Lepisosteus oculatus: one gene and its partners. The protein of the gene in region 1 interacts with the protein of each later gene in a biochemical or structural test. Links are inferred from orthologs where the notes say so. Each region holds a gene or a part of one and is shown in the gene's direction. Other genes may lie near its edges. The genes, in order: ubiquitin-conjugating enzyme E2 R1, rnf7, uba1 and cul2.

Evidence for each region.
Region 2: the proteins of ubiquitin-conjugating enzyme E2 R1 (region 1) and rnf7 form a complex in vitro, tested with the Homo sapiens proteins (5 studies listed by BioGRID). The link is inferred for Lepisosteus oculatus from reciprocal best matches to the Homo sapiens genes CDC34 and RNF7.
Region 3: of the proteins of ubiquitin-conjugating enzyme E2 R1 (region 1) and uba1, one has a biochemical effect on the other in vitro, tested with the Homo sapiens proteins (7 studies listed by BioGRID, with this or other methods). The link is inferred for Lepisosteus oculatus from reciprocal best matches to the Homo sapiens genes CDC34 and UBA1.
Region 4: the proteins of ubiquitin-conjugating enzyme E2 R1 (region 1) and cul2 form a complex in vitro, tested with the Homo sapiens proteins (2 studies listed by BioGRID). The link is inferred for Lepisosteus oculatus from reciprocal best matches to the Homo sapiens genes CDC34 and CUL2.

The regions. Positions count from the first base shown.
Region 1 is NC_090724.1:9,517,432-9,524,993, reverse strand, and holds the start of ubiquitin-conjugating enzyme E2 R1, read left to right. Parts: upstream 1-4,546; 5' UTR 4,547-5,124; coding exon 5,125-5,304; intron 5,305-7,562. UniProt on the Homo sapiens protein: E2 ubiquitin-conjugating enzyme that accepts ubiquitin from an E1 ubiquitin-activating protein, and catalyzes its covalent attachment to other proteins by an E3 ubiquitin-protein ligase complex. In vitro catalyzes 'Lys-48'-linked polyubiquitination.
Region 2 is NC_090708.1:15,894,718-15,901,983, reverse strand, and holds rnf7 (RING-box protein 2), read left to right. Parts: upstream 1-5,006; 5' UTR 5,007-5,043; coding exon 5,044-5,218; intron 5,219-5,730; coding exon 5,731-5,778; intron 5,779-6,346; coding exon 6,347-6,465; 3' UTR 6,466-6,754; downstream 6,755-7,266. UniProt on the Homo sapiens protein: Catalytic component of multiple cullin-5-RING E3 ubiquitin-protein ligase complexes (ECS complexes), which mediate the ubiquitination and subsequent proteasomal degradation of target proteins.
Region 3 is NC_090697.1:77,869,916-77,877,635, forward strand, and holds the start of uba1 (ubiquitin-like modifier-activating enzyme 1), read left to right. Parts: upstream 1-4,720; 5' UTR 4,721-4,890; intron 4,891-7,720. Other genes in the region: camkvl (caM kinase-like vesicle-associated, like), read left to right, coding at 1,425-2,501. UniProt on the Homo sapiens protein: Catalyzes the first step in ubiquitin conjugation to mark cellular proteins for degradation through the ubiquitin-proteasome system.
Region 4 is NC_090701.1:38,381,450-38,389,005, forward strand, and holds the start of cul2 (cullin-2), read left to right. Parts: upstream 1-4,556; 5' UTR 4,557-4,647; intron 4,648-7,556.

The DNA.
Region 1 (7,562 bases):
ACGCCTCGCCCCCACCCCAGGAGAGGAGTCGCTGAAGACTGAAGGAATCCATGCTAATGCCTTGCCCCTCTCCTTGCTCTCCTCTCCTTCCCGTCTCCCCTCCAAGGCCACACTCTCGCAGGCATTCCTGACGCCCCCCTCTCGGCCCCCAGGCGGGACTCTCCAATGTCTTGATTTCAGATTGTTATTGTTCGTTCCCATGTTCGATTCGGGTGTCAGCTCGCTGTCTGTTTTCCGTTCCCCCACTCCTGGCCTCCTGCCGTTGGTGTGCTGGCCAGGAGCCACAGCCTGTCCAGGTCTCCCTCTGGCCCTGATGTCTTAATGACTTGACTGAGTCAGTCGATGCCTCCTTGTCTCAGTCATGTCTGCGGCTCGTGTCTGTGAGCCCTGCAGGGCTGTGCCTCTGCATGGGGAGGAGGCTACTCCTCCGGTAATCCAGCCAGTACTCCCTGCTGACAGGACCCCTCCGCCAATCGATTGATCCGGCTGATAGGAAGTGTGCATGTGTTGGAGCAGAGGCTGGTCACCGCGCACACTGACCAGTGATGCACCGCAGCCTCAGTCCAGGTGCACCAGTGATCTGGGCTGAAGGGCTTGAGCTATCACCACTGGTCAGCCCTGGGCCTCACAGTCCCTGAACCAGCAAGCAACTACGGACATTGTCTAATTCAGTAATTGATCCATTAGTTAGATAATTGGGTGGTAATTGGTCAGTTAAATCAGAGGTGATTACCAGCCCAGAGCCCTGATCTGCACTGCAGCTGTGCTGGACGGCTCCTTCCTGTAGATCCTCCCTACCAGCGGTGCAGATGTAGAGAGACGCCTGCACACAGAGCTGTCCTCTGGCTCGCACCCGGGGCCGACCCCAGGGGCTGCCCCTTCATTTCCTGTCTGTAGCCGTGTATTTATTTTGAATTTGAAGTGGAGTTCCAAGAGTGGTTGCTTTTCCTGTTCGTGTACAGTGGGCAGGAAGGCAGATCCGCCTGCAGTGCCTGGGGGCTGCTATTCCTGTAGGTGAGAACAGGCTGAGGGGGGGTGCAGTCTGGCTCTTCAAGCCTTCTGTTCAGTACAGCTGGAGCTGAACCCCAAGAAACACATCGTCCTGCGTTACTGTCAGTTCTCTGGTAGCTATCCTGTAGTGCCGTGACTTCAGCCTCTAAAATATTCTCCCGCCTGCATCTCCCAGCAGGACATCCTGTGTGATTATTCTGTTGATTTATATCGGCTGTATGATGTGACATTATATAATGATTTAAATGAATATATAAAGGATAAACAAAGAATTTCCTATCGACATTCCCTTAAGAAACCTGAGCTGCTGTAGTCTTTGTGTCAAGGTGAACCAATAAACTCTGATGTATGATAAGGACACTGGTGATGTCTGGGATTTTAGTCTTTAGTCTGCTGTGTAACGGAATCACTGTCTCACTGGATCTGAAGTCCTCAGTTTAGAGCTTTAACACTATTTCACTGTTTCCACTAGGGGGCGTTTATTTTAACAGGAGCAGCAGAAAACAAAAAGCGGAATATCTGTTGTTCAAGTCTTAGTTTTTGCAGGATGTCTATAAACGTTGTTGTTGTTGTTGTTGTTGTTTTCATTGTGAACAAGAAGATATTCCCTGCGGGAAGAGTGCTCTGTGTGTCCTGGGCCCTGAGCCAGGAGGTGGAGGCCTCTCGTCTCACAGAAGGAGATACTGGGGGGTGTCTGTCACTGGGTGTGATTGGTCTCCTGGCAACCTGGTAACCTCTAGGTCTTCGGCCCAGAGTTCTGCTACTCTGGCTAAGCAGTGGAGTCGCATGTCAGAGCTGTGCTGTAATCAGGGCTCTCTTTCAGTCGTTAAGCAGAACCGCCACTGAGCCTGTTGTCCAGCTGCCAGCTCTGTGTCCCTGTGCAGGGCTGGGGCTGGGGGGTGGTGCGTGAGGATTCGGTGCTCTGGGAGAGACAGAGGCCATCTGTTCATGCTGTAGTGTGGTTTAGCCAGTGATCCAGGGAGAAGCTCTGCGACCTTTTACCCTGAGTCAGCAGCCAGCAGTCGGCACCCCGCATTGGCACATGATAGCCTCCCATCGTCTCAGTGTAGGCACAGGGCTCATTCTCTCTCTCCTGACAGCGGCTCTGTCCTCTCTCCCTGTGTCCTGACAGTTCTTCCTCTGTCCTCTCCTCTCTCCCTGTGTCCTGACAGTTCTTCCTCTGTCCTCTCCTCTCTCCCTGTGTCCTGACAGTTCTTCCTCTGTCCTCTCCTCTCTCCCTGTGTCCTGACAGTTCTTCCTCTGTCCTCTCCTCTCCTCCCTCCGTGTCCTGACAGCGGCCCTCTCCTCTCCTCTTTCCCTGGGTCCAGACAGTTCTTCCTCTGTCCTCTCCTCTCTCCCTGTGTCCTGAGAATGGCTCTGTACTCTCCTCTCTCTCTGTGTCTTGACAGTTCTTCCTCTGTCCTCTCCTCTCTTCTCTCCCTGTGTCCTGAGAATAGCTCTGTCCTCTCCTCTCTTCTCTCCCTGTGTCCTGAGAATAGCTCTGTCCTCTCCTCTCTTCTCTCCCTGTGTCCTGAGAATGGCTCTGTCCTCTCCTCTCTCCCTGTGTCTTGACAGTTCTTCCTCTGTCCTCTCCTCCCTCCCTGTGTCCTGACAGTTCTTCCTCTGTCCTCTCCTCTGTGTGCCTGTGTCCCGGGACGATGAGTCAGACACTGGAGTTTGTCACAGCACAGGCTGCCAGTGCTGTAGGCCTCCATCGAGGGAGCTAGAACCACAACCTAAATTTAGCTCTGATTTCAGCACGAAGCGCTGCGGTGTTACTGGACCACATCCAGGGGAGTAAACAAGTCCTCCGAGCAGACTGGGCCGAGCCCCAGCAGGTCTCAGCAGGAACCAGGCAGCCCGACTGCTGGCCTGACCACTGTGAGCAGCTCCCATCACTCTGCCTGCAGGAGAAGGGAGTGTCTCACTGCTGTCTCATCCTGCTGTTGTGACGTGTTCTGATCCGACTTGTGGCCCAAGGCCCCCTCAGGCGCTGGTCTTGGGGAAAGACAGGCTCTTTGAGGAGAGTGAGTGGAGACGACCTGAACTTTCACAGCTCAGCCACCCTCTCTCGTGGTCGACACTCCAGGGCTGCAGTGAACCCAGAATGAGGGATAAGGACTGTAAGTCTGTGCTGATCATCACCAGCTCATTCCACTGTGTTGTAAACTGTCCTGTCGCGATTGCAGCACTGCTGGAAAACAGTATCGGAGATGTGTCCGGCCCTGGTGACTTCAATTAATACCCTGGACCTTTGATGCCACTGGCTGGGATGAGTGAGCATTCAATAAAAACTGAAGTATCCTTGAAAAAGGAATGTACAGGTATTTAACAATATGCAATGTTTATTACCCCGATAAGTGACTCCCCTAGTTTTATAGGCTAGTTCCAACATCGAAGTCTGCCAGTGAGCAGGAGGCTGTAGAGGTGGCTGTAGAGTTGGGGGGGCCCTGGAGAGCCAGTGGTGACTCAGCACACTACACCGGTCGGAGTGCTGACTCAGTGCTCTGGAGGCAGGATGGTGTTCTGTTGAGCTGGAGTCCTGTGGTAGGGGGTGAGCCGCACGGGTCACCTGCTCTCCCCGTCTTCTGGGCCTCAATCACAGTAAGTGCAGTGAGGAAGGGTAACTAGTGCACAGCTGACAGTGTCCCCAGTAAGAGGGAGGGGGAGGGCAGATCACGGGTGTAGAAGTGGAGGAGGGGAGAGGAGAGGGGGCAGCTCACTGGTGGAGGAGTGGAGAGGGGGAGGGCAGATTGCTGGTGTAGGAGTGGAGAGGGGGGAGGGCAGATTGCTGGTGTAGGAGTGGAGAGGGGGGAGGGCAGATTGCTGGTGTAGGAGTGGAGAGAGGGAGGGCAGATCGGTGGTGTAATAGTGGAGGAGGGGTAGGGAGGACCACAGATGAGTTGCGCAGGTCATAACAGGGCAGAGCAGAGGGCTGAGTGTTCTGAATAATAATCCTTACAGTAACAGCGCTGTTCCGGACACTCCACTCAGCTCTTTACAGGTAATGGGGATCCCCTCCACACCCACCTGGATGATGCGCCAGTCTGCTCCCCACACACCAGCTCTCAGTGGGGAGGAGAGCAGAGTGATGAAGCCAGTTCAGAGATGGGGGTTATTAGGGGGCCATGATTCTTTTTAATTGTATTGAATGAAATGTGAATTGCTCTCATCGGGCTCCACACTACACAAGCTATCACACTGCTAACGTGGTCACCACAGGATGAACTCAATAAAAAATAATAACCGACAGTTAAATTCATTGGCATTTTAACACGTAGTTGGCAACATTTTTTAAACTTCTTTCCCCCTGAATGATATATCGGTGGTGTTGAGGATCTGAGAGCTGATAACTAAACTCATACGCGGCGCAAAGTTTGTTTTTCTGTTTTCCTGGTAATGGGAGTTAAAAACAAGCTCGGGGTGACGTAGCGTACTTCCTCCTGCCACCACAAGCCAAACCCAGCAACCACCTCTATGACGTCACAACAGCTGTCCCACGACTCACGTGTGGCTGTCGAGCGGGTGTGCGGGGATTGTAGTCCTTCATTGCTATCTCGGGATCACGAAAGCTTGATCGTGCGATCGATACACCGGATAACACAAGCGCCTGACACTAATTAAGAGGACGACGCACTTGTAATAGGCATCTGCCTACGGGGTGAGCACCAGGTATTCGGCGAATCGTGTTGGGATCCACACAAGCCTCCGATCGAACTACAGTTCCCAGAAGATCGCGCTTCCGCACTGCTGGGCTGCCTTTGTCGCGAAGCGACTTCAGCAGCAGACCGCAGCCGCTAGCCGAGCGAGGAGGGGGTTCAGACTGTGCCGGACATCCGCTTGCCTGTTTATTTTGTTTTAAGTTTTTGTTTCCCCTAAAAGAGAAAAAGAGGGCTCTGTGAGCTCAGCCCGCTGCCTGTGAATCTCGGATCGGGCGGACCAGTCGCGGACGAGTCGAGCCGAGCCAGGCGCCTCGGACGCGGGTTGGGTCTCCGAGCCTGTGCGGCCGTGCTGAGCCCGGAGTGAGAGCAGACGCGCAGGGTGTGCTGCTGCCGGGGCCAGAGGCCGGCCTGCTCCCGATCCCCGTTGCCAGAGCGCTGCAGCCGCGGCGGCATGGCGCAGCACGGCCCGGTGGCGAGCTCGCAGAAGGCGCTGATGCTGGAGCTGAAGAGCCTGCAGGAGGAGCCCGTCGAGGGCTTCCGCATCACGCTGGTGGACGAGGCGGACCTCTACAACTGGGAGGTCGCGATCTTCGGGCCCCCGAACACCCACTACGAAGGGGGCTACTTCAAGGTGAGGCGGCGGCGGCCGCGGTCCTGCGTGTCTCCGGGAGCTCTCCGGTCGGCCCGGCCCGGCCCTTGTTCGGCAGGTTCGGGCTCCCCGGCAGTGCGGTGCGCTCATTAACGATTCCTTTGTTGCCTAATTAGTGTTTTTACGCGAGTTGTCCTGGAAGCTGCGCTTGACAAAGGAACCGGCTGTCTCCGGGAGCTCTCCCTGCCGGGTCGGGCCCGTCCGCCCCTCCCCCCGCCCGAGCCTCCGGGCTCCTTTGTTCTAATATTTAAACCTCCCCAGCGGGTTGAAGCCTCCGCGCTGCTGCGCTGGTATTTTTAGCTCCGTTTGAGCTCCGGACTGGGCTGCGCTGGTGTCCCGACCCCCCCGGGGGTACCCGACTGCGGGGGGCAGTGGCTCGGACACGGGCTGACCCGACCGGTCTCACCAACCCCCCCCTAGTGAACCGCGGAGGTGTGAATCTCTCGCTTGGTTCGGGTTTGCCGCGTGTCCTCTGTTTGTTTCTGAATTGTCCTAATGCGCGGCTGACCACTGTGTCCGGGGGCTGACCACTGGGAAACGCGTCGTGATATGACTTTGCTACGTGCAGTGCTTGATAAAAACGGGGGGGGTCTGGTTTGTGCTCCTGCTCTGCAGTGTTTCGAGTTGCAGAGCCGATAATCAGGACTGAGCGTGTTACTGGACTCTCGCTGGACTCCGCGCCACGTCCTGCCCACCTGTCCTCTGCGGGTCGGGTCCGGCGGCTCTTTGCTCAGACAGGAGCCATTTGCTCCTTTGTTGGGGAGAATTCGCGTCTTTTCTCTCCCCAGCAACAGTGTAGGAGGGGATGCGGGGCCCGGGGGAGCGCACAGCCCTGCGTGGGGGGGGGGTCACTTGTCCTAGTTGGGCCTGCTTGGCTCGCTCGTGCCCGGAGTTGGGGGGCGGTAGGGGAACCCCACATGCTGAGCACGATGGTTTAGACCCCTCTGAAGATGCTGTATTGTTCTGAGATCCACAAGCTAGGCCCTGATTGGAACGCAGGGCTGTTTGAAAAGGTTTGCTGAAATCCTGATCAGAAACTGGAGCGCAGGTTCCAGACCTTCACACCAAAAACTGTAATAAAAAAAAATCCACAGATCTCAGGAGAGCCCCCCTACAGCCCAGGCTCTGGAAATGTCCCTTCTTCCCCGTGTGATGTCACAGGAAACTGCTGGCTGACACCAGGTCCCGGGCTGTGATGTCATCGCCTGCTCTCCTCGGGGAGGGGTGACATCACTTCCCTCACGGCTGGAGTAGCCAATGGGCCGCGAGAGCTGGCCAGGCCGTGCTAGACTGGCCTGAGCTTGTGGTCAGTTGGTCAGTCGCGCCAGGAAAGTGGTGGACAGGCAGGGATTGCAGGCGGGGAGCTGGCTAAGTGAATGAAATGGGGGCGCAAGGGAGTGACCCACAAACCCTGCCTGGGACTAGGCTGGGCCTGCGTGGGCCGAGGAGGGGAGGCTGGCAGAGCTGTGACAGATTCCGCTGGGATGTCAGGAATGCGCGGTGAGGCTAGGATTTCGGGAATCCTGTCAGCTCTCTTCCTGCCTGAGCGAAACAGGTTTCAGGAACCTCCCCGAAACAGGATCTCCAGCCGAGGGCTTGAATCCAGGAAATGAATTCAGCGGAAGTCTGTGGCGGTTTGTTGTGGAGGCCTGGAGGGGGAGCAGCCTGTGGTTTGAGGCCTGGGGGCTCAGCACCCCGGACTGGATCAGGGCTGTCCAGTGCCGGTTCTGGAGGGCCAGTGAAACTGTTAGTGAGCTGCTCTAGCTCTGCCTGGATCAGACCAGCTGTGGACATGACAAGCAGACATGAACCCAGGACACAAGTGGAAATGACATGGAGGATCATTCTTTACACGGAGAGTTGTGGGAGTGTGGAGCAGGTCGGGATTGGCCAGTTGGTTATTTTCTGGCCTTTTCGGGGGTGGGCTGGGCTGACCTCTGAGGTGAAGCCGCACTCGAGGGGCTCTGCACAGACCGAGTCATCCTGCAGAGCCCACAGCAAGCCTGCCCCCGGACTGAGCGCTCTGACCGTGGCTCCTGGGGGGCAGTGTTGGACCCCCCTTCTTGCTTCCCCACCCCTCACCAGTAGTGGGCACTTAGGGCTGAGGGTCTGTCCTTCAGGATCCACTGCTCCCCAGGTGCTGTGGATCGCTGACCTGCAGGAATGTCCCAGGATGCAGTCGTCTGTTCTGACCTCTCTGTGTTCAGCACCTCGAGGGTCGGGTTGGCCCAGGTCTGGAC
Region 2 (7,266 bases), on another chromosome or scaffold:
TTCCTTTTATGAGAGACATATGGATCGTTAGATCCCAACGTACACGCAATGATAACATGGATCCGTGCCCTGGGACTATCACAACCTGAAGCCACTGGGGCATTCAGGACTGATCTGCTGTCACCAAGACTTCAGCAGGACCACCAGAAAACATCTGTGATTGATTTAAACCCAGTGAACCATAAGTAACAAATTAGGAGGGACTTCTTAAGGCTTTGTTTTTCATCCAGTAAAAATGTATTCATTAGGATGAAAGTTTCCCAAGAATTAAGAAATAGACTATTTAATGGTGACCTCCATCACCTGCTAGATTTGATCTTTCTTGATCCAGGACTGGATAATCTCTGCTGTAAAGAATATCAACTGTCTGTCATATCAGTCTAAATAAATTAAACATGGTGTAGCACTACAACTTTATATACTGTATAGCTATGATAGTAGACATTTGATATTGTTAATGAGTTTTGTGGAAATAACATAATTGATCAACTCATTGAAGAAATAGACATTTCAAGGAAGTCCTAATAAAGTACAATTCACTTACAGTACAATGCTTGATCCCTCATGGGGAAGTAAAGGTAATTGAAGAAATACAATTGCAACAAATACAGATGGATAGAAAATTAAATAATTGAAACACTCCACTAGCATGTCAGTCTCTGATTGCCTATAGTGAATGCTTTTCCACTGTCCACCTTCATTTTGAACAAGCTGGTTCACTACAGTACTATTGCTCCTGTTTTTATCAATCAGATCTATCTGTGCTTCTATATCAGGACTGATAAATAGACAAATGTGCAAGATGTTCATATGAGGAGTGGCAATCTTTCTTTAATTCACATATCATGCTTCACTTTTCAAAAACAGAGGAGAGCAAAGCAAGGCAGTGGATCAATATTTGCCATCATGGGGTAAAGTCAGTGCCAGATTTCCCATTAGACACTGTAGGCACAACATGCTTGCGATCAACTGTAGGTGCTCCTAGCTATCTAGCGGCTGTTCTAGAAACTAGATAGAAACTATCGAAGTGATGGTTGCTCGACTTGCTCCATCAATCACATGGTTTAGCATTAGAATAGTTTAAAGTGCATCATGTCAATCAATGTAATTCCATTGGTGTTTACCCCTCTTTTTGTACATTTTGGAGTGGAAGTACATAGGGCCTACAAACACCAAAATCCGGCCCTGGGTAACGTGACTTACTACATCACTTGCTTTTGCACTGTCATTGATTATTTAAGCTTTTGAGTCAGACTGCTAATTGAATTTCAGACCTGCTGGAACTCAGCTAGTATCACTTCCCTTCTCCACATATGGCTCAAATGCTGAGCAATGAAACAAAAATGTGCACATTTTCTTTCAGATAGTCAAATAACATTCCCCCTGTGGCTTTTCATAAATGATGTTTTATAGAATTAAATAGATTACAATGTTATGAGTTTTAATATTTTTTAAAACAATTTTATGGAAGTACAACTCACAACATTGATGTTGAAAGGCCAGCAGGGGATACATTTATTTTGAGGCAGCTTTCTTTTTTCACTTAAACCCACATTCACGCTGTGTTAAAACTGTGAATTAGGCCAGCTTTCATATTTACTACATTGTTTCATGATATGAAAGATAACACTTCTAAGGAGTAATGTTTGAGGTACTTCAGCTAAAGTTACCAGCTTTACAAGAGTAGCCTGCTGAAGCTACATTTTTGCTGTTTGTTCTTTGTGGTTCTGGAGCTTAAGGGAATGCCCTAAACTGACAGGCTGAAGGCACTGAATCTTTTTAGTCTTCAACATGGATGGTTTTGAGAGTAAATTATAAAATTATTCACAATCATCTAAGGCAATCCTGCTGAATTCTTCAGAATTTATACTGAAATAAGAATTAGAAGGCACAAGTGCAAACTACATGGAAGAGCAATTAAAACTGGCAACAGGAAGCATTTCTTCACCCAAATGGAATGAGAGTATGGAACAAGCCCCAATACCCTGGCTTCTTTGGAGAAACACTGTGAAACACTCAGATCAATTGACTACTAACTACCAATTGAGCTAGATGAGCAGAATAGCCTCCTCTGATTTGTAACTTTTCTACTGGTCTTCTATTCATTCCAATCAAATGACCACCTTTTGTTCTCGGTTTGCTTCTAAGTTCCACAGCATCAGGTCTCTTCTTCATTACCAAATGGGCCCAAGAACTGGAACCACAAATTCATGTCTGTGCTTTAAAGATCTGTATTCAACACTCACTGCATCTACAGCCTCCTACCCACTTGTACTGATGTCTTTGTTTAAGAGACTAACCTACAGAGATATTTTATTATTTTCTTTCAGTTTCAATCAGTAAAATTACTAATCTTGCATTTCTGTAGTGCCCCACATACACAATGAATTATCTTACAGTAGAAATTGAACATCTTCCTTCTATTTTTAAACATTTATTGCAGAGATAATCAATAAATGTTTAAAGACAGCTGACAATATCTGAATAATGAAGCAAAGAGGGTTATTAGGAAAAGTGATTTGAATGATCTAGATTCTGGAATGGTCAGTGAACTAGTCCAATGTGCAGATGATGTCAAAAAATAGTTTGACAAATTGAATACTCAGTAATCACTTGTCAGGTGGCATTTAATGGAGACAAATAGTGATAAAGCTGAGTGGTAAATGCACATACCAGAAATTCAAACTAAAAAAATAAGACAGAGGACAGGGAACATGTAGGAGCTACCTATTGACAAATTACTATCATCCTCTAGACAATGAGGAGAAGCAATAATCAATCAATCAGAATTAATGTTGAGCTACATTGGCATTTAAAGTGTAGCATTTAAATCAAAGGATGTTAAAATTGTACAATGGACTAGTAAGAACTAATTTAGAATATTGTGTAGTATTTTGATAATGCTGATTTGAAATCAGGCCAAAAATTACAAACTAGATACATTCCTAGGTTTAAAGGAATGTCCTATTCTAACAACTAAAAATAATGGCTATATTTAGTCTTGGACAGCTGAAACTGTAGAGAAGTTCACTTAAAACAGAGAAAAGGGGACAGAATTGTTATACAAAGATGGGAGTCTTCAAGAAGTTACCCAGTCATGTTGCTGAAGCAGATACTGACTTGTTTCAAGAAATGGCTGGATGAGATCCTGGAATCAATTAACTATGAATTACTAAAGCCTGTTACATTCTTGTGAAGTTAAAAACATTATTAAATGCTATATTGAAAAGCAGGTATACCCATACTATTAATACTATCAAACTGCCTTGTATTTCTGTTTGTAAGGGTATACTGTACCTTAATTGGTAGAAATAAACAATATTTTTTGTTGATGCATTGTGTTCTTTTTTCTTGAATTGTTTTGTGTTGCTCTGCTCAGGAAACAGTGGCTGCTGTTGACTAATGACAGAGCCCAGATTCAAACCAGTGATGAAGGGGCTACAGGACTCTGAAAGTTGGGAGCTCTCATTTTTTTTTCTGTCTGTTTATAGCTAAAGATCGCATTCTCATACAATAGCTGCTATTAGTTTTCCCAGCTGTTACTATGAGACAAAAGAATTGTTCTTTTTTTATCATGGTCCTGCAAGAATGTACGCATTCTTCATGCTGTTATCTATACTATGAGCACTGTTGGTCCTCAAACAGCTGAGTATCTGATATCGGAACCACAACAGTGTTGTTTTATTTCTTGATTGGCGTTATTTTATGCCCATGCTAACATTCTCAGCTCCTTTTTCTATTCCGTTTGAAGGTTACCATGCTGTGCTACAGGAATAACCCAATAAATAGAAGATTACATACAAGGAATGTGTTCAAAAGTAACAAAGTTAGAGAGTAGGATCTCAGGATGAAACTGTATCTGACTGGCTGTGGTTGACTGTTTGCTGTTTGTCACTATAGAAGAATTCACTTAGCCCTCCAAAGTAGAAGAAAAACAGAAAAGAACTAAGAATACTTTAGTTTCTGTTGGGTCACTGCTTCATGCAAACACAAAATGTACAAAAAATAAATTTCACTTTTAACTTCAAACCTTATCTTTCTTATTTTTGTTTTCTTATATTTAATTTTTTCAGTGTTATATGTCATTAAAGCTCTGTGTACAAGGGATCAACTAGTGAATGAACCAATTTTAACTGATCAACAGAAAAAAAACAAGATTATTCATAAGAAGCTTTAATGTTGCCTACTTGTTTTAATTATGTCCTTAATTCACCTGAATGATGGTAACTGAAAATTATTTTCAAATTACAAAAGCATGGACAGAAACAGCTGAAACGGCGATATGAAATAAAGAAATAAAATAAAATCTTTCTTGCAAAAAATGTCAGGCTTAAAAAATGAAAAGTATCTGTCTTTATACTCTTAACGCTTTAAAAATGTTTCACATGGGACTCATTATCACATTTCTTTGAAAAAAGGTAGGTCACTCTAAAACGCAGAGCTCTGATTGTGGATTAAAGCATCTGCTGTGCTGAGAGGTATTGAGTTGAAAATGCAACACCAGTGAGCTCTCTTTGATTGACTACTTCTCTTTGAGCCAGGTATTTATCTCATGCCCAGTCTCACTCCTGAGTAGCCTGGGGGAGCAGAGTGTTTTACATTACAGGGTACAGTGTCTACTTTGGGCTTCTCCTTGACTGGACTCATTTATCCTGTGCTTCTGTTACCATGTATGAAGTTTTTATTTTTAGAAATTTTGGATTTTCTTAATTTTTCTGCGTTACTATGTGTGTGATGTGTGTGTTTACCACAGTTTGCATGTGGTATTACAATTGTTAAATCATAAAACATACTAGCCTTTCTACAGTATGAATATTATGTTATTATGCTTAATATTAGGACAGTATGATTGAATTCTACCCAAAACAGGTATCAATGTGTTAAAAATTATATTTAATATTAAATTATATTAACACCAGTAGCGATTTAAGATTACGTTGGAGCTTTAGCCCCATCTTGCGGTTGGCCCTTAGTAGTACATTGGCTTATTGTGCTGTGCAGCCGCACTGGTCCGTCCATTTTGTTTTCCCTTGTACCATTGCTATGGTGGAGATGGATGACGGAGACGAGCCGGTTTTGATTCCTTCTCACAGCGGCGGATCTGGCTCTAAATCTGGAGGAGACAAAATGTTTTCCTTAAAGAAGTGGAATGCCGTGGCAATGTGGAGCTGGGACGTAGAGTGCGATACCTGTGCCATTTGTAGAGTTCAGGTTATGGGTAAGTGAAACAAAAAGAGGACGGCTTTATCGTGTCTTTTCACCAGAAAGGAAGTTGTGGATCCTGTTGGTCGGCAGCAGCAGCCATGCACCTCTTTTTAATGTAAGAGGGGGAAGTGGTGCGATGCGGGAGTTTTTTTTTTAAGATTTGGTTGATAAAAGCAGTAACATGCAGGTCGCGTCGCAGTAGGCCTTGTGCACTTATCAACAAGAGAATATTGTAGCTTCGTAGCAAAATCCGACAATGTTGTTGTTTAAGTAATAAAGTAGAAAACGTTGTTTCGAGTGAATAGTCAGCATTACAGTTATCTCTATTATAGTGTATGTAAGTATATAATTATAACTAGCTGTCTGAGTTAACATTTTACGATTTTTGTAACGAAAAATGATGTAAAAATACGTGTTAAGTTGCGGCTTTTTTTTGCCTGTGGTATGTTAACGTATTGGAAGTACATTTCAGATTTTTACGTCAATTTCAATCTGGCAGTGCATGTGTTTTTCCTGCTTGTTTAGATGCTTGCCTTCGATGCCAGGCGGAAAATAAACAAGAAGATTGTGTCGGTGAGTCCCCTGTGATTTGATAGTGTTATCTGGTGAAGCATGAAAGCTGGACTAAGAATTAATTGCCTTAGCCGTTCAGTGCTACTGGTTACGGCCCACCTTTGCTTTAAGAACATATGGTTAACAATAATTTAAATCTGCAGAACATTACTTGAATAACCAAATAACGCAGTATCAAGAAAACGGTGCTGGCGTTTTACTTTAATCGTGATAAGTGCAAAGTTATTTTACATACTAAAATCATGGGAGTAGTTTGTCTGCTTCATATTCCTGATACTACCGCATTTTTTGTGTCCAGAATTATCTTGCTTGAAGAAGTCGAGAGATAACAGTCATCTCTCGACTTCAGAATAACGATCTGATAAATTATCAATAGGTGCCTTGACGTTCTTATGGTAATCCAGACCCCTTTTAATGACCTCACTGCACAGCATTCCTATGCATGTAAAGGGCAGCTGCAGTTTACTCGGACCTCTTGAACCCTGTCCAGTTCATGAGCTCTCAGAGAATGTGATCTGTTGCTTGGTGGATTTTTAAAGCCAGCCTGTCTCATCCTTTTCCTTTTCAGTGGTCTGGGGAGAGTGCAACCACTCCTTCCACAACTGCTGCATGTCCCTGTGGGTGAAACAGAACAACCGGTGCCCACTCTGCCAGCAGGACTGGGTGGTTCAGAGAATTGGCAAGTGAACGCGTCCTGTGCATCAGGTGCAGGCTCACCCTCCTCGTACAGGCCTGAATTTGGACTTGCCAAGATGGGCTTGCCTTTACCTCTCGCCGTGTGGGGCGGCTACCATCCGTCGGCCTGGGACTAATCCGTTCATTTGCCGGGAAGCGGACAGCTCCTGCAGACCTCCTGGGAGCAAGTATGAATAGACGACCCTCCAGGAAAAGGCCTTCCAGCAGTTCTCTTCGCATGTTTCGTGACTGTACAGGAGCCTGTTTTACTTGGTGATGTAATAAAACAATCAAAAGAAAATAGGTATCATCTGTTTGTGTGAAACCGAAGGATGGGAAAACCCAATGGGGGAGGATTTTAGGGATTTAAAGGGCCTGATATCTGGGAATGCTTTGCTGAGGTTGGGAACAGGATTTTAAAAGACAGGCCTGGGAATGATTTGACGGTATATACTGTAGGTCAATCAAAGCAGAAGCTGGTGTTAAATTGTACTTTCCTTTTTAAAAAATGACGGTAGAAGTGCCAGTCCTCTTGACATGATAGCAGTTTTGTCCAGGAATGCATATTTCTAAACTTAATGGTTGTTGTGTGTTTTTTTTTTTTGGTTTATTCAGTGTTTATTTGAATCTTTCATTATAAGAAGGATAAGCCAGAAGGGAGAAAGGGTCTCTCCCTAACAATTTTAACTGCTCTGTTATTCTTGAGTGTTTGATTGCAAGTGTATTTACTGATTATTTTTTTTTACCTTCTACCCTGGACATCATCTCAGTCTGCTGCATGGTCAGATGATTCACTACTCCCTTGTTTTATTT
Region 3 (7,720 bases), on another chromosome or scaffold:
ATACATAATGGGTCTGCATTGTGTATCAGTATCTCTTCCTTTTGGTCTTGAAAGACAGAGAGAGCCCTGGAGCATTTTTGAAAACTCAGAGATGTTGACTGGAGAATCTGTAGACAGGGGGTACATCTGCACACACACAGACACACGAACACTCACAGACAGAGAGACAGACACACGAGCAATCACACACAGACACACGGACACTCACACACAAAGACAGTCACACGAACACTCACAGTCACACAGACACATGAAAACACACACACAGATACACAAACACTCACAGACACAACAGACAAACAAACACACAAACACTCACACGCAGATATTCTTGCACATGCATTCAAAGCTGGGGAGCCACACAGGAATCTCAAGCACATGTTCCTTCTCTTTGAAGACCAATGAGGTTCATCGCATCCATTATGTCCGCAGAGTGGCCAGTCACCCGAGCAGGGCATCGGCGCCACGGTCCAGCCCAGCCCAGCCTCCCGCAGTCTGGAGCTCCACGCTGATTACCTGCTTGATCACTGGAGTGACTCTGGGCCAATGGAGGCTGAGCTGCTCTCTGACCATGAGCCGTGTCTCTACGGCCACAGTCAGAGGTCCCATACTAACAGTGCCGGGAGCTGCCAGTTCAGCACGTTGTCACTCCAGCCAGCAGTGGGGGCACTGAGAGAAAAGTGTTCCCCTGATCAGACAGTCTCTTTGGCCCCTCCGCTCTGCAGAGAGCAGCTGGGCCATGCCTGCCCAGAGGAGGGTGTGGGCGGGTGGCCGGTGTCACCTGGCGCAGGCTGGTGTCCTGGCCAGATGTGGTCACAGCTGCACTCCTCTGCAGGGCAGGAGAAGGTCTGGACGAATCCTCTTATGGTGGAGCAGCTTCAGCTTTGCTGTTCAGGTGGTTTCTTTGCAGCTTCCTTGTCTCTGCCCATCGAAGTCCAACACTGTATGACATTGTGCCTTAACGTCATTTAGAAAAGTAGGAGATCACCCTTTAACCACAACATGCTCAGTCTTAGTAATGTTCACCTACTAACACGTGTCGGATTTGTCAGGACCTGTCTTCCTGCTCCATCTGGTTAATGAATTGCAATGCTGGCCAGTACTTTAGGACCAGACTACTGTGTCCGACCAGTACGTGTCTGTATAGACGTCCGGGTCAACTGGACCTCCTGCTCAGAACTGGCCGGCACTGACAGCCTGAAATCCAGCTGAGCTCTGCAGGGGCCCTGGCCACAAAGCGAGCAATTGTGTCCTCCTGGACATGCTCGTTTCAAGCAATTAATCTGGGGATTGAGCAGCTGAAATGTATTCTGAGGAGGTCGTTAAGACAATGGCTGTGGCTTTTAAGCCAGGCTGTTCTGGGGCCTCAGCTGGCTGTCCCCAGGCGGCGAGGTGGTCCTGTAACCTGCCTGTTGTCCCCACAGAAGGCCATCCGAGTGACCACCTTCATGCAGCGCCTGCGCGCCCCCGAGGCCGGCAGCGGGGGCGAGGGGGGGGCGCGCCTGGCCGTCACCCCCCGCACGTCCATGAGTGTTTCCCACAAGGTGACGGTGGAGAGCCGGCCGGAGCAGGCCGGGATTCCCAGCAGCCTGTCGGTGGGGGTCTCCCCGACCTCCACCACGGACCCCCTTCCTGCAGGCGATCTTGGGCTGCAGCCAGAGGGGGGGGCGGCCAGCGACAGCGCGGGGACGACGGCGGCCAGCCTGGGGCCGGACAAGCCCAGAGCGCCCCCCGACAAGCCCCCCCCTTCGCCCCGCGTCGAGACCAGGAGGGTCCCAGACCGCGGCACCAAGGTGATCGTACTGGAGCACCCGGCCAGCCCCGGGGAGACGAGGTCGGGGTGCCCCCCGGACACCCCCAACAGGCGCAAGATGGCAGCTGTCCTGCACCGCTCTGCGGACGACACCGCCTCCCCGGCGGACCCGGAGACGAGGGCCGGGGGGCCGGCAGCGCGCCGGGGGGCCGCGGGGGGAGGGGCCGGGGACACGCCCGGGCTCCGGCCGGAGAAGGGGGACCGGGGCGCCGGCGGGGGTGGGAGGAGAGCCGGCGCGGCGGAGAGCTGGTGCCAGACACAGCTGCCCGAGGCCGTGGCGGAGAGGAGGGGCGCAAGGGAGCCCCAGGACGGGAGCCCCGGACGCAGGGACCCCGGCGCGGCCAGGGGCTCCCCGGGCGCGGCGCACCGCAAGACCGTGCCCGTCCAGGGGCAGCGCGAGGCCGCCGGCGACTGGCACATGGACAGCGTGATCGAGCAGATCGAGAAGCAGATGGCCGCAGTGCTGGAGAAGATCGAGGGCGACATGCCTTCCCTGCTGGAGCAAATCAGCGACCGGCCCTCCCCAGCGCGCGCCCCCCTGGCCCCCGCCACGCGCCCCAGCCTGCCCCCCTTCCCCCACCTCACCATCCCGCCCTGCACAGCCCCCCCGCCCCCCCCGCCGGAGCCGGAGCCAGGAGAGCAGCCGGAGGGTGAGGCCGGACCCGGCCAGTCGCAGAGAGGCTTGTGATCCAGCACACAGGGAAGCACTCTGGGAAATGCCACTCATGGCGATATACGGATACACTATTTTTCTTCTCTGTCTCCTGTTTTGTGTTTGCCCTTCTGAAGGTGTTCCTGCCCCTCCCTGTGCCTCTCCCGCCCGGCGGCCCAGCATGCCCCTCTGCGCTCCGCTGTGTTCTCTCCCACCCCAGCGGCACACCTGTTCTCTGACAATTTTTTGCATCTGTCAGCAGTTCTTTCAATAAAACTCTCAAGCAAAGCGCTGTGACAGTCTTCCCTTCCTGTCTGTGTGCGTGTCTGCGTCGCTGTCCGCCGGCCAGATGAATCCCGCTGGCCAGCGCAGGTCAGTCTCCGGGCTGGAGCTGCTCACCTCTGACCCCACGCACCCCGGTTTCTGTCCCAGTGGACACCCAGCTCCAGGCTCAGGCTCTGCCCCAGCCTGTCCCATTTCCCTGTGTGGACAGAGGAGAGACCGGGGGCCTGTCAGTCAGCTGAAAGGGCGGGTCCCTCAGCACTCAGGCAGGTGGGACTCGGGGTGCCAGCAGTGACTAGGCCGACAGCAGTCTCGTGAAGGACAGGTGAGGAAGCACCTCTTGTGCAGAGTACTGACGCCACAGAAGTCCGATCGCACACACTCGCTGATCCCGATACAGTAAAGGCAGAGGAAAACACACGCTGGATTATTTACAGTAACGCCTGGCTATGCACTTTCCTGCACAGCCAGTGTGGGACACTCCGTTCAGACTAAAGAGACTCAGTTCCTGTAGCCTGTCAGTGTGGGACACTCAGCAGACTAAAGAAACTCAGTCCCTCCAGCCTCTCAGTGTGGGACAATCCCTTCAGACTAAAGAGACTCAGTCCCTCCAGCCTGTCAGTGTGGGACAGTCCCTTCAGACTAAAGAGACTCAGTCCCTCCAGCCTGTCAGAGTAGGACACTTACTTCAGACTAAAGAGACTCTGTTCCTGCAGCCTCTCAGCAGCCATATCACCCTGCAGCTCAGAACTGGGAGCCTACTGGAGCCCAGCAGGTGTGAGCCTGGTCAGTATCTGGATGGGAGATCTCCTGGGAAAAACTAAGGTTGCTGCTGGAAGAGGTGTTAGTGGGGCCAGCAGGGGGCGCTCACCCTGTGGTCAGTGTGGGCCCTAATGCTCCACTATAGTCATGGGGACACTATACTGTAAAAAGGCCATCTCTGAACTGGCTTCACCACTCTGCTCTGCTCATCACCGATAGCTGGTGTGTGGGGAACGTACTGGTGCACTCTGGCTGCTGTCACATCATCCAGGTGGGGGTGGAGGGGATCCCCATTACCTGTAAAGCGCTTTGAGTTGAGTGTCCAGAGATGTGCTATGTAAGTGTGATGAAGCCAGTTCAGAAATGGGGATTATTAGAAGGCCATGATTGGTGAGGGCCAATGGGAAATTAGTCCAGGACACCAGGGTAACACCCCTACTCTTTTTGAGAAACACTTGGGATTTTTAATGACCACAGAGAGTTAGGACCTCAGTTTTATGTCTTATCTGAAGAATGGCACCTTTTTATAGTATAGTGTCCCCATCACTATACTGGGGCATTAGGACCCACTCAGACCGCAGGGTGAGCGCCCCCTGCTGGCCCCACTAACACATCTTCCAGCAGCAGGAGTTTGTCCCAGGAGGTCTCCCATCCAGGTACTGACCTGCTGGGCTCCAGTGGGCTCCCAGGTGTGAGTTGCTGGGTGACATAGCTGCACACTCATGCAACTAATTTGCGCTATTAGCCAAGGTGCGCGGGAGCTCGTGTCTGAGGCGGTTCGCGTGTGCTGGCCGGCAGGACCGCGTGCCTCCGCCTGGACCCTCCACGATGACATTCTGAAACCGTTACCTCACATTTCAAATCTGCGCTTCAACATGACCGTCGGCACCAACAGACCGGCTCGCCACCGGGCAGCAGAGCCGGACTACAACTCCCAGCAGCCTGCGCGGCAGCGCTCGGACCGGGAGGACCCAAGCCATGCGAACAGAAGGGGGGGCGAGAGTCCTAGTTGTGTAAATAATTTTAGAGCTCCCACCAGTATTATGGAGAAATACACAGAAAGTCACTAAACTTTAAGACTGTGTTAAAGTCTTTGATTCCGTACAATGTGAGTCTTGTACGCCGTCGTGCGTAAATGTATTTTTCTCTGTTTCTCCCCCATCTCAAGATGGTGGCGCGGCCCCCCGTCGGAGCCCCTCTGTCCGCACATGTTGCTTTATTCTCGCTGCGCTGCTGGGAACCGGCGAGCCGCCTGTCTCTTCCCGTGTGAGAAGCCACCGAGCTCCCGCCTTCGCCGTCAGCTCCCACGGGGGGTTCTCTCTGTCTGCTCGCCCTTTCGATTTTAAACACCGAGGAGCAGGTCTTAGCAAGATCGGATGTGGTGAGTGCGACGCCTGCTCGCGTTGGACCCCGGGCCGGGGGCCGGGAAGACAAAGCTGAACCGTGCTGGCAGGTTTGGGGGCGAGGGGGGATGGGGAGCGCGGGGAGTGAGGGCGAAGGGCTGAGGGTGTTATTTATGCACTGGGTGTTCCTGCCCGACCCGGTGCTGCCTGCTGCCGGAGCCGAGGATGGAGCTCAAGTTGCTGCCCAAGTTTCGGAGCTGCTCGCCACCCCGGCGCCCGGCCACCTGTGCGGCGGGCAGTGTCCGGGCCGAGGGGGCCGGGGCAGGGGCCGGGGAGGGAGCCGGCGTCCCAGCCGGGGCCGGGCGAGCCCCAGGCCGCAGGGAGAGGGGTCCGAGCCGGGGGGAGGCGCCCGGCTGGGCCTTTCATTGTTGTGTAGCGGTTCCCGGTCTGCACGGCGGATCTGAGCGCCAGCCCGCAGACTTGCAGCCCACGTCTGCTTTGTTTGTGCTGCCCGAGGTCGCGGTCCCTGCTCCACGGGTGCAGTGTTTTCCCGGGTGGCTGGGCTCCCCACGAGTGGACGTGGGCTGTCATGACGTGCCTCTCGCTACGGGTTCTCGTGCAGGAGGGGCGACGCAGCTCCCTGCTCAAGTGCGTCAACATACTCTTTTCCCTTCATCCTCTCTAAACACACTGTACCTCAGCTCTAACCACTAGCCCACACTGCCTCCCTCTCTCTCCCCCAGTGCCTCAGCTCTAACCACTAGCCCACACTGCCTCCCTCTCTCTCTCTCAGTGCCTCAGCTCTAACCACTAGCCCACACTGCCTCCCTCTCTCTCTCTCTCTCCCAGTGCCTCAGCTCTAACCACTAGCCCACACTGCCTCTCTCCCTCCCAGTGCTTCGGCTCTAACCACTAGCCCACACTGCCTCCCTCTCTCTCTCCCAGTGCCTCGGCTCTAACCACTAGCCCACACTGCCTCCCTCTCTCTCCCCCAGTGCCTCGGCTCTAACCACTAGCCCACACTGCCTCCCTCTGTCTCTCTTTCCCCCAGTGCCTCAGCTCTAACCACTAGCCCACACTGCCTCCCTCTCTCTGTCCCAGTGCCTCGGCTCTAACCACTAGCCCACACTGCCTCCCTCTCTCTGTCCCAGTGCCTCAGCTCTAACCACTAGCCCACACTGCCTCCCTCTCTCTCTCTCCCAGTGCCTCAGCTCTAACCACTAGCCCACACTGCCTCCCTCTCTCTCTCTCCCAGTGCCTCAGCTCTAACCACTAGCACACACTGCCTCTCTCTCTCTCTGTCCCAGTCCCTCAGCTCTAACCACTAGCCCACACTGCCTCTCTCTCTCTCTGTCCCAGTCCCTCAGCTCTAACCACTAGCCCACACTGCCTCCCTCTCTCTCTCTCCCAGTGCCTCAGCTCTAACCACTAGCCCACACTGCCTCCCTCTCTCTCTCTCCCAGTGCCTCAGCTCTAGCCACTAGCTCACACTGCCTCCCTCTCTCTCTCCCAATCCCTCAGCTCTATCCACTAGCCCACACTGCCTCCCTCCCCAAGGCCTCAGCCCTCACCAGTGGGACGTGTTCAGAGTGGGTTGGACAGAGCTTTTGGACATCAGCCTGTGGCCGTGATTGTGGGCAGCAAGACAGAACCTGATCAGTGAATTTGATTGTTTGTGTACGGCGAGTGACATGCAGCTCAGTCCCTGGTGTAGTTGAATAGCAGTGCAGTTAGGAGGACCAGGTCTGTCAGGGTTACAGTCGCTGGTCCTGGTGTTTGTGTTCTGTGGGCTCTGCTGCTGGCTGTCTTGACCTGCTGATGAACAGAAACAGCACGCCGAGTCCAGGAGAGGGGCAGTGGTATGAGAGCAGCCCGGTCCGGGGCTCGCTGGCTCCACCGAGCCGGTTCTACATGACTGTTTCAGGGCCCCAGGGGGAGCGAGATGATGATGATGATGATGTTGGGGTTGAGGAAGGGTGTCACCCTGTGATTGATGACTGTGTTGTTGATGACCATATCTGTGGTTACTCAGTGGAGTTCTGGGTCACACTGTTTCTGGCTAAAGACTGTGGACGGTATATTTACACCGACACGCTTGGGACATCTTGCCAAACTGCTGGAGAGTGCCTTCTCCTACGGTAATGGACTTGGAACCATTTATTAATGAGATGGGCCAGGTGGGCCTGGTCGCTTACTGAGTGAAGAGACGGCCCTGAGGATCCCAGCGGAGCTCCTGGCTGGGCTTCATCCCAACTGGCAACATAAGGCATCCAGCAGCCTGACAACTCCCCTGCGGGCTCTGGGGGGTGAGTCTCCAGGGGTGTCCAGTCCAGGTCCTGAGGGGCCGGTCAGTGTGCCTGCTCCAGGGGTGTCCAGTCCTGGTCCTGGGGGGCCGGTCAGTGTGTCTGCAGGTCCCTTTAAAGAGCAGCTGGGAGAATCTGTCACATTGGTCCAGTAGGTCTAGTAACCAGCTGGCTTGGAATGAGAACCGACCCCACCAGGACCGGACTGGCCACACTGCTGAGACACTGACCCCACCAGGACCGGACTGGCCACACTGCTGACACACTGACCCCACCAGGACCGGACTGGCCACACTGCTGACACACTGACCCCACCAGGACCGGACTGGCCACACTGCTGAGACACTGACCCCACCAGGACCGGACTGGCCACACTGCTGAGACACTGACCCCACCAGGACCGGACTGGCCACACTGCTGACACTGACCCCACCAGGACCGGACTGGCCACACTGCTGACACTGACCCCACCAGGACCGGACTGGCCACACTGCTGAGACACTGACCCCACCAGGACCGGACTGGCCACACTGCTGACACACTGACCCCACCAGGACCGGACTGG
Region 4 (7,556 bases), on another chromosome or scaffold:
TTCAGTCCCTCATTCCAATCCTGATCAAGCTCTGAAATGCTCAAGTAACCATTTTGAATTAGACTTTCCCCATTGTATTGGTGCTTGAATTTGGGATAAATTCTAATAGATTTTAAAGCTGCCATTTTGATTTTGAAATGTTTACATAATACATTGGTCATAGCATTTTGATGGATCTGCCCAACATTTCATTATAGAAAAAAATATTAAATACTTTGTCTGGAGATAATAAACATCAGAGCATTCAACCATCAAAGAAGTGAAAGTTAGAAAAAAAAAGATACAATTACAGTGTTAGAAGCCTAATAATAATAATTCACTCAACAACTTACATAGTGCTTAGAAAAATATTGTTTCTGCCTATAAAGTTTTAATGACAAGTGCTCCAAGTTGGCATATACTGTATACGGCCAGCACAATCAATTAAAATGTATATTAGTCATATAATCAAATGTTTTAATCATACTTTTTTACCCCTATCTTTCAGTTTTGGAATAAGCCCCATTTCTAGACTCATATGTTGTCCTTTCATAATACCCTGTCCCTATTAAATTCTCACGTTATTAAAGCATCAATGTTATATTAACTCAGAAAATACAGGAGGGCGATACAATGGCCTCATAAGAGACATTGCTCAAACATAATTCTGTAAAACTAATCACTAAGATTTTAACGACATGCAAGCACTCAATTTCTTGGCCAAGAACATTTACTGTATCTGAAACCAATTTTTTTGCTGTTGCTGTATATTTAATCATATGATGCATGTTAAATAGAAAATAAATGACTAACTGCAAGAAAGTTTGACTTTGTAAAACAGCACACATATGTGTACCCCTCACAAATGGGGATACACCACCTTGCATTATAATTCCATTTAGAATTTAAAACATGATCATTAAATTCTACGCATTTTAAAGGATGTCTTATTCCATTAATAAGGATAGAGGTGTACAGAATTGGAACTTTCAAATGTTTTCAAAACGGACAAATTATGTAAACCATTTTCAAACACTCAAAGCCTCAGTCCTTTTAAGTTCAAAATAAAAGGTGTTGCAATCCTTCACATACAGCCCTAATTATTTCTATTACTACAGACTTGCGGCTCCCCTCTTCATTTTCTTACCCAACTCTCCATATTTACCTTTTCTGTCGTTTTATCAGGTCATTGTGACCAATAAATGTTTTATATTCAGATTTGAAGAATGTATATGATTTAAAGCAGGGACTTATAAAGAACTAGGTTTCGAGGTTTTAATAAAAATAAACATTAAAAATACTAAAAAGGAGACTGAAATATTAGAAGATTCCTGGACAGTTCTTTAAGAATTTGTGACATATTGGAAACCTCCACCAAAGACACCTTATGTACATTGAGAGAACATTATACCGTATCTTCTTCAAAATATATATTTTGAATGAACAATGATGAAAAGAACTGAAAACAACCATTTTTAATGAATAATTTTTATTTTAAGGCCAGAAGAAAATATGTAAATTTGTTGACAACTACACAAGACTAACAATACACAACTAAGAAGCAGACTGTAAAATGTAGTTTATATTTCATGGCTCTGTATTAACAGTAACATGCAAAAGGTTAGACAATACACTGTAGCTAGGCATTCCAATAAGTGACAAAGCAAAGGATATTGCTCCTTTTACTCACACATGGTTGCAGTGGCAGCGGAAATATAACAGCAAGGCAGAATACTTTAGGTATCAAATTTGGAGGTTAGTGAGAGCTAAAGGTCAAATACTTTTGAGGTCTGTGTGAGAGAGTTTATCTTTATAACATCTTACCTATGCTTTAAATACAAAACACATCAAAATGTTGTCCTTTGGTTATACCTTTTGTGCGCATCAAATTGTTTTAAAAATGTTTTTTTTTCTATTTCAGAAATTGCAGACCAATATTATTTTTTCCACCAGTGTAACATACTTGAAGTTACCAACAGCACACTTCATACAGTACACTGAAGATAATTTGTTATAACTTTCTTCCTAAATTCCTAACCTATACTATTATGAATGTATATTTCTAAAACATCTGTTTCTCACAGTTCAGACTGTATAAATTGCAACTTCTCTAAAATGTTTTGGGTGTTTCCAAGCAGAAACTCACTAGGTTAAACTTTTAAAATATTCTACTGGTTCAGACCAGACTAGAGACTAGAAACCTGAAAAGATGTACTGTTGCCTTAACAAATTTCCATGCCTGAAGGGATTTAGCTACATTGCAGTTACACTCCTGGGCTGACACAAGCAGTCAAAATATAATACCATGTTTGAGGAAACTGAGTTTTCTTAAACAAATATGCTTGGTTTCTTGTACATTTTAAACGACCATCCTCACCACACAAGCCAATCACAGTAATTAATCACAGTTAATTATTAAAAAATATTTTAATACAATTCACGTTTAATTCATGCTTATTTTAGCAATCTTAGCAAAACCGAGTGTTGCAAACACCACTTTATAAAAAGCAAAACCTCGCTATAATATATAATGGCATATAAATAATTAGATAATTGAACTGAACTCGGGTAATTGGGTTCAGTTGGTCAAAAAAAACTCACGGTTAAACCTATTATTCAGTGTGTTTAGCTTAATACAATTATTGCTAAATCATAACTGAATTACGTTCATGTTTAACGCAAGCGGTTTTGCTACCCTCCTCCACAGGCAGTAGAAAAACAACCATTAGAAAAAAACAATGCTGTGAGCAGGGCGTTGTCGGTTTTTGGACAGAAGGGAGGAGACAGGTTCTGCGCCATTTCTAGAACCTTCCTGCTCAGCAACGGACGCCATTTTAAATGAAAATATTTAAATTAAAATAACACATCCAACAGCGGATTTTTTTTAACTTATCAGGTCGCATTGTAACCCGAAAAACTGACTTAATCGGTTTCGATTTTTTTTTAAAAAATCTTTCCCGCCAAAGATACCTATAAGTCAATCATTTGCAATGAAAACCTAAAATCGTGACGTTGCGCGAAAAATATAAATGAAATAATGAATAATTGAATGCACATATCTAAACGTTATATGCGAAGTTAAAACATTAAATAAACTCTGCATTCGCACATACACTGCCACACAGAAACTATAAACGTCTTCGGCGGCATTTCAGTACACTTGAAGTTATTTTTAATTGGGTTTTATAACAATAAGTCGGAAGATATTTGGATATCCATCTGATTGACGGCACAGAGCCTCGGAACTGTATTTCTAATTACTATTTTCGGTTCAAGTCCCCCTCCTCTCTCCCCCCACACGCAGCGAGCACTGCTGTCTAGCGATCCTGAGCTTATTGACTAAGACACATGAGATCCCCGTCACGTCACGTTTCTTTTTATTCAAGACCTAGCAGGGTTTTAGCTGTGGCCAGATATCCGATGTGAAGGAACCACGCAGTCACATAGAAGTGCCAAAAAAAAAGAAAAGTCAATTGCGCAAAGAAAGTGCTGCAAGTTACTAAAAACGAGAACTGTTAAAGAACTACTAAGCAGATTCATTTTAATTAAAACCTGGAAGCCAATTCGCGCAGACTAGGTCATTTCTTAGAACGCCGCTTTCCAGTACACCCCGCTGTCGAAACACTGAAGTGAAAAGAAACATTGCACTAAATACAGAGAAGTTTTGATAAAGCTGTCTAGGCGTGACCGATAACATTTCCACCCTTTCGCTGCGAAAGGAATTGTTCCCTTGTACAATATCCGAAATGCACAACGATCCCTCATAAATTTTAATTCAGTTACTTCACAATTAAAACTAGTCATCTAATTAACCACGCACAGTGTCCCGAGTTACTCCTGTAATAATTAACTTGGCAACTTTACACTTAAAAAAAAACAAAAGTTACAACTTGTAAATGACGTTGAACCTTTCATCGCTCCAATTACGTCCGTCGGCTGCTAACGTTATTATTTGCACTAAACTCTGAGATCATTAAGGACATCTACTTTTTTTAATGCAACCAGCATAGTTGTGTATCGGAAACCAGAGCTAAAGGCGAGAAGCGGTGTCTTTGCTAAGGAGGCTGTGCTGCTGTCACCAGAGTACCCACGACCAAGTCGTCAGCAAGCAACTTCTCCCTGTCTTTCCTTTCTTTCCCCCCCTTCAAAGCCTCCACTTGTTTGCAGTGCCTGTAATAACTTACCGATGTTTTTTACGTAGTGGGACTCGTCACTGATTACGGTAGGAGTGGATGGCCTGAGCCGCTGCACACGTAGCCGCCACGTCAGCTCTGATGCTGCTGAGCTGTGTAAAATGTCGGCGAGGTCCTCGGCGCCTCTGACAAAACACGAAGATCTACGGGGGGAAAAAAAAAATCAACCCACTCAGGGGCGGGATTACAGCAGACGAGCGGGTGGGAGGGACAAAGTACAGAAGTCGGCCTGCAAATGCGGTGCTAAAAAGAGGGTTACAAGGAGGCGGCGAGCTCCGGCGTTTCTGGCCGCGTCGCTGCGGACAGCCTCGGGCTGCGTTCTGCGCGCGAGGCGGGCGATTCAAATCGGGCCGGACGGGAAAACAAGCGCGGCGAAAGAAAACAGCAACAGCCTCGGCGCGCGCTCTCCTGCGGCTCGAGTTCCGAGGGACGCCGCGGTTGCCCGGAGAAATGACGTCCTGGGGTTCCCTCTGCTGTAGGCGTTTGCCCGGCTGGTTCATGCATCGCTTTACATGCACACAGTGTTGTGAATCCGGTAGCACGAAAACGGGCATTTTTAGTTTATTTCACATTCATCTTTTTGGCGCCGGTTGTGTTTTGCCCCGTCTTTCCCTCCCGCACACAGAAAACACAATGTAGTTCTTGTGTTTTATGCAGGGTGACGACTTCTGAACCGCGTTATATATTTAAATCATGCGATAAAACAAGACCAGTATTCCAGCTAATAATGAAAGCTAGACGTATCAGGTAACCCCTAGTACAAAATAAGTTGCAAGGACCTAAAGCGATTGATGAAGTGGGTTTAAGTTTTCAGTCGCACTCAATTGTGTCATCCATAAGAAAGGATGCGGGGCGATGAAGCAACGAGAAAGTCCATCAGTGTATATGGAGGATATATTTTGAGAAAGTGTAGAATGCTGAATATGGTAACTTGTGCTAACACCTGTCCTCAGAAACATGTCTAACACAGGCACGGCGGAGGAAGGTTTAGTAATGAAATGAGGAATTCAGGAAAACCAGTCCTTCAAACTCAGAATGATATTAACCATCAACCCAGAAAAGAACCACCAGTAAAACATGAAAATTAAGCAGGAGAGATAGTGGGACTGAAGCACTCATTTGTAATCTTATCCTTTGATTATTAGGTGTTTCATTGAGTTTCTGTTTCGTAGTTGTGTAAATTACTTTGACACTCCTTACTCCAACATTTATTCAAACATCATACAGCTATTAAATAATTAAATATGATGTTTACACCATGTTGATAATGTCTTTGCCATAACCTGGCTGTTGCAGCTGATGTATGAAATGAAATACAGTGGTTGTCCACAGACATTTCTTTTGGTGAGGTTACACAATTTTTCGGCTTGGACAGCTTTATTAACACAGAAATTAAATATATCACCTAAGGAAGGAAATGCAGTGGGTGGCACATACTGTACATACTAAATATTAAGATATTAAAGTAATTCAAGTTCAACTGAACTTGAACATATACATTTATGTAAAGCCCAGAAATGGAAGTGTTGTTTTCTACAACTTTCAGCCAAATTTGATTTTAAACCATGCCTTGGGATCTTATTTAACCTTCTTGCCCAGTCTGGACTGCTGCTTGTTTGCTTCTTAGCTTTATAGCTGTGGCACCTGAATGCATTATACTACATATTCAGTATGTCCAACTGAGCGTGGGTCAATGATGATTTCTGTTACTATTTATATCACTGAACCCAAGACATTTGTTTAACCTCAGGTAAACCTCTATTATTTTAATATCTTTAATTGCTCATTTTTCTTTATAGAAACTTTGTATATATAATATGTCTGCAATAGATATTATCTGTACATATATATTATGAAATTAGTTCAGGTGGGTTGCTGCGTCAGCATGCGTAGGCTGCAAAGGAAGTCAGGTGTGCGAAGAAGGCTCCACAGCCAAAACGCTGTGTTTTCTTGCTTCTCTTTTCAGCATGGAATAAACCTATTGTTCCTTATTATGAAAGTGTACATAAAAGCTATACGTATGCTTGTAAAATAATAAATTAACTTGGAATATTAAATTCTAGTGACATCTAGTGGCTAGAAAATAGTTTTTAGTGCTGTTTTCATCCTAATTTAGAAGTGGTCAAAAGTACCATTGCTACTACTAATAATTGCTTACACTTATAAAGTGCTTTTCTGGACACTCCACTCAAAGCGCTTTACAGGTAATGGGCACTACCCTCCACCACCACCAAGGTGCAGCCCGACCCGGATGATGCAACAGCAGCCATAGTGCGCCAGGAAGCTCACACCACGTCAGCCATCAGTAGGGAGTAGAGCAGAGTGATGAAGCCAGTTTAAAGATGGGGATTATTAGGAGGCCATGATTGGTAAAGGCCAATGTGAAATTTGACCAGGATGCCGGGGTAACAATCCTATTCTTTTCGAGAAACAGCCTGGGATTTTTAATGACCACGGAGAGTTAGGACTTTCGTTTTACATCTCATCCGAAGGACAGCACCTTTTTACAGTAAAGTGTCCCTGTCACTGTACTAGGGCTAGGACCCACACAGACCACAGAGTAAGCGCCCCCTACTGGCCCTACTACCACCAATTCCAGCAGCAGGAAGTACATACAGTGTTACACCGTTTAAGATTTTGTACACAACCTAAAATTGAATTTTCCAGGTAATTTAGGGTAAGGCAAAAGTGTTCTGTTTACTTTTGGTACTTAATTATATACTCCCAAGTTCAGTGATCACATATAAATTGGTTAGTAACAGAAAGTAATAGAAATAAGGCCTGGTAAATCACTGTTAATATAGTATCTTTTTAATGCATCTGATGCAACCTGCACATGTTCTTAACAGGCGAATACAAATATCACATATCGCAGTGAACAACCACCACATACTGTATCTGTATGTACCACACATACCAACACTACAAAAAGTGTTGTTTTGTTCATAAATGACCATGCAGTGTGCAATTCAGCAATACAGAGTATGAACATGTTTATCTTTATCTGTACAATTCCTTTGATCAAAGGTACAATTAAGCAAACAATATTATACTCACTATCGCTTGTAGGCATAAAATGATGTGGCTAACTAAAATCAGAGAAGGTATAACTATTTATTTGTAGCAGCTTGCACAATGCAGATTTATCTTTTCCTCTGTACAGATGATCAGTTATTTAAATATTCAATTCAGCATATCAAACGCATTGTCACAAAAATACATTCTTTGGAACTTGCTTCATTTCCAAAAGCTCGGTAAAGGGAGAAAGAGACACTTTCAAAACACAGCCACAAGCTAGTTTCTGTAGTCAAAAACTCTTAGCCTATTTTAACTTAAACATTTGTTTGTGAACTGGGTTTTATTCGTTTCATTAAAAAAAACCCA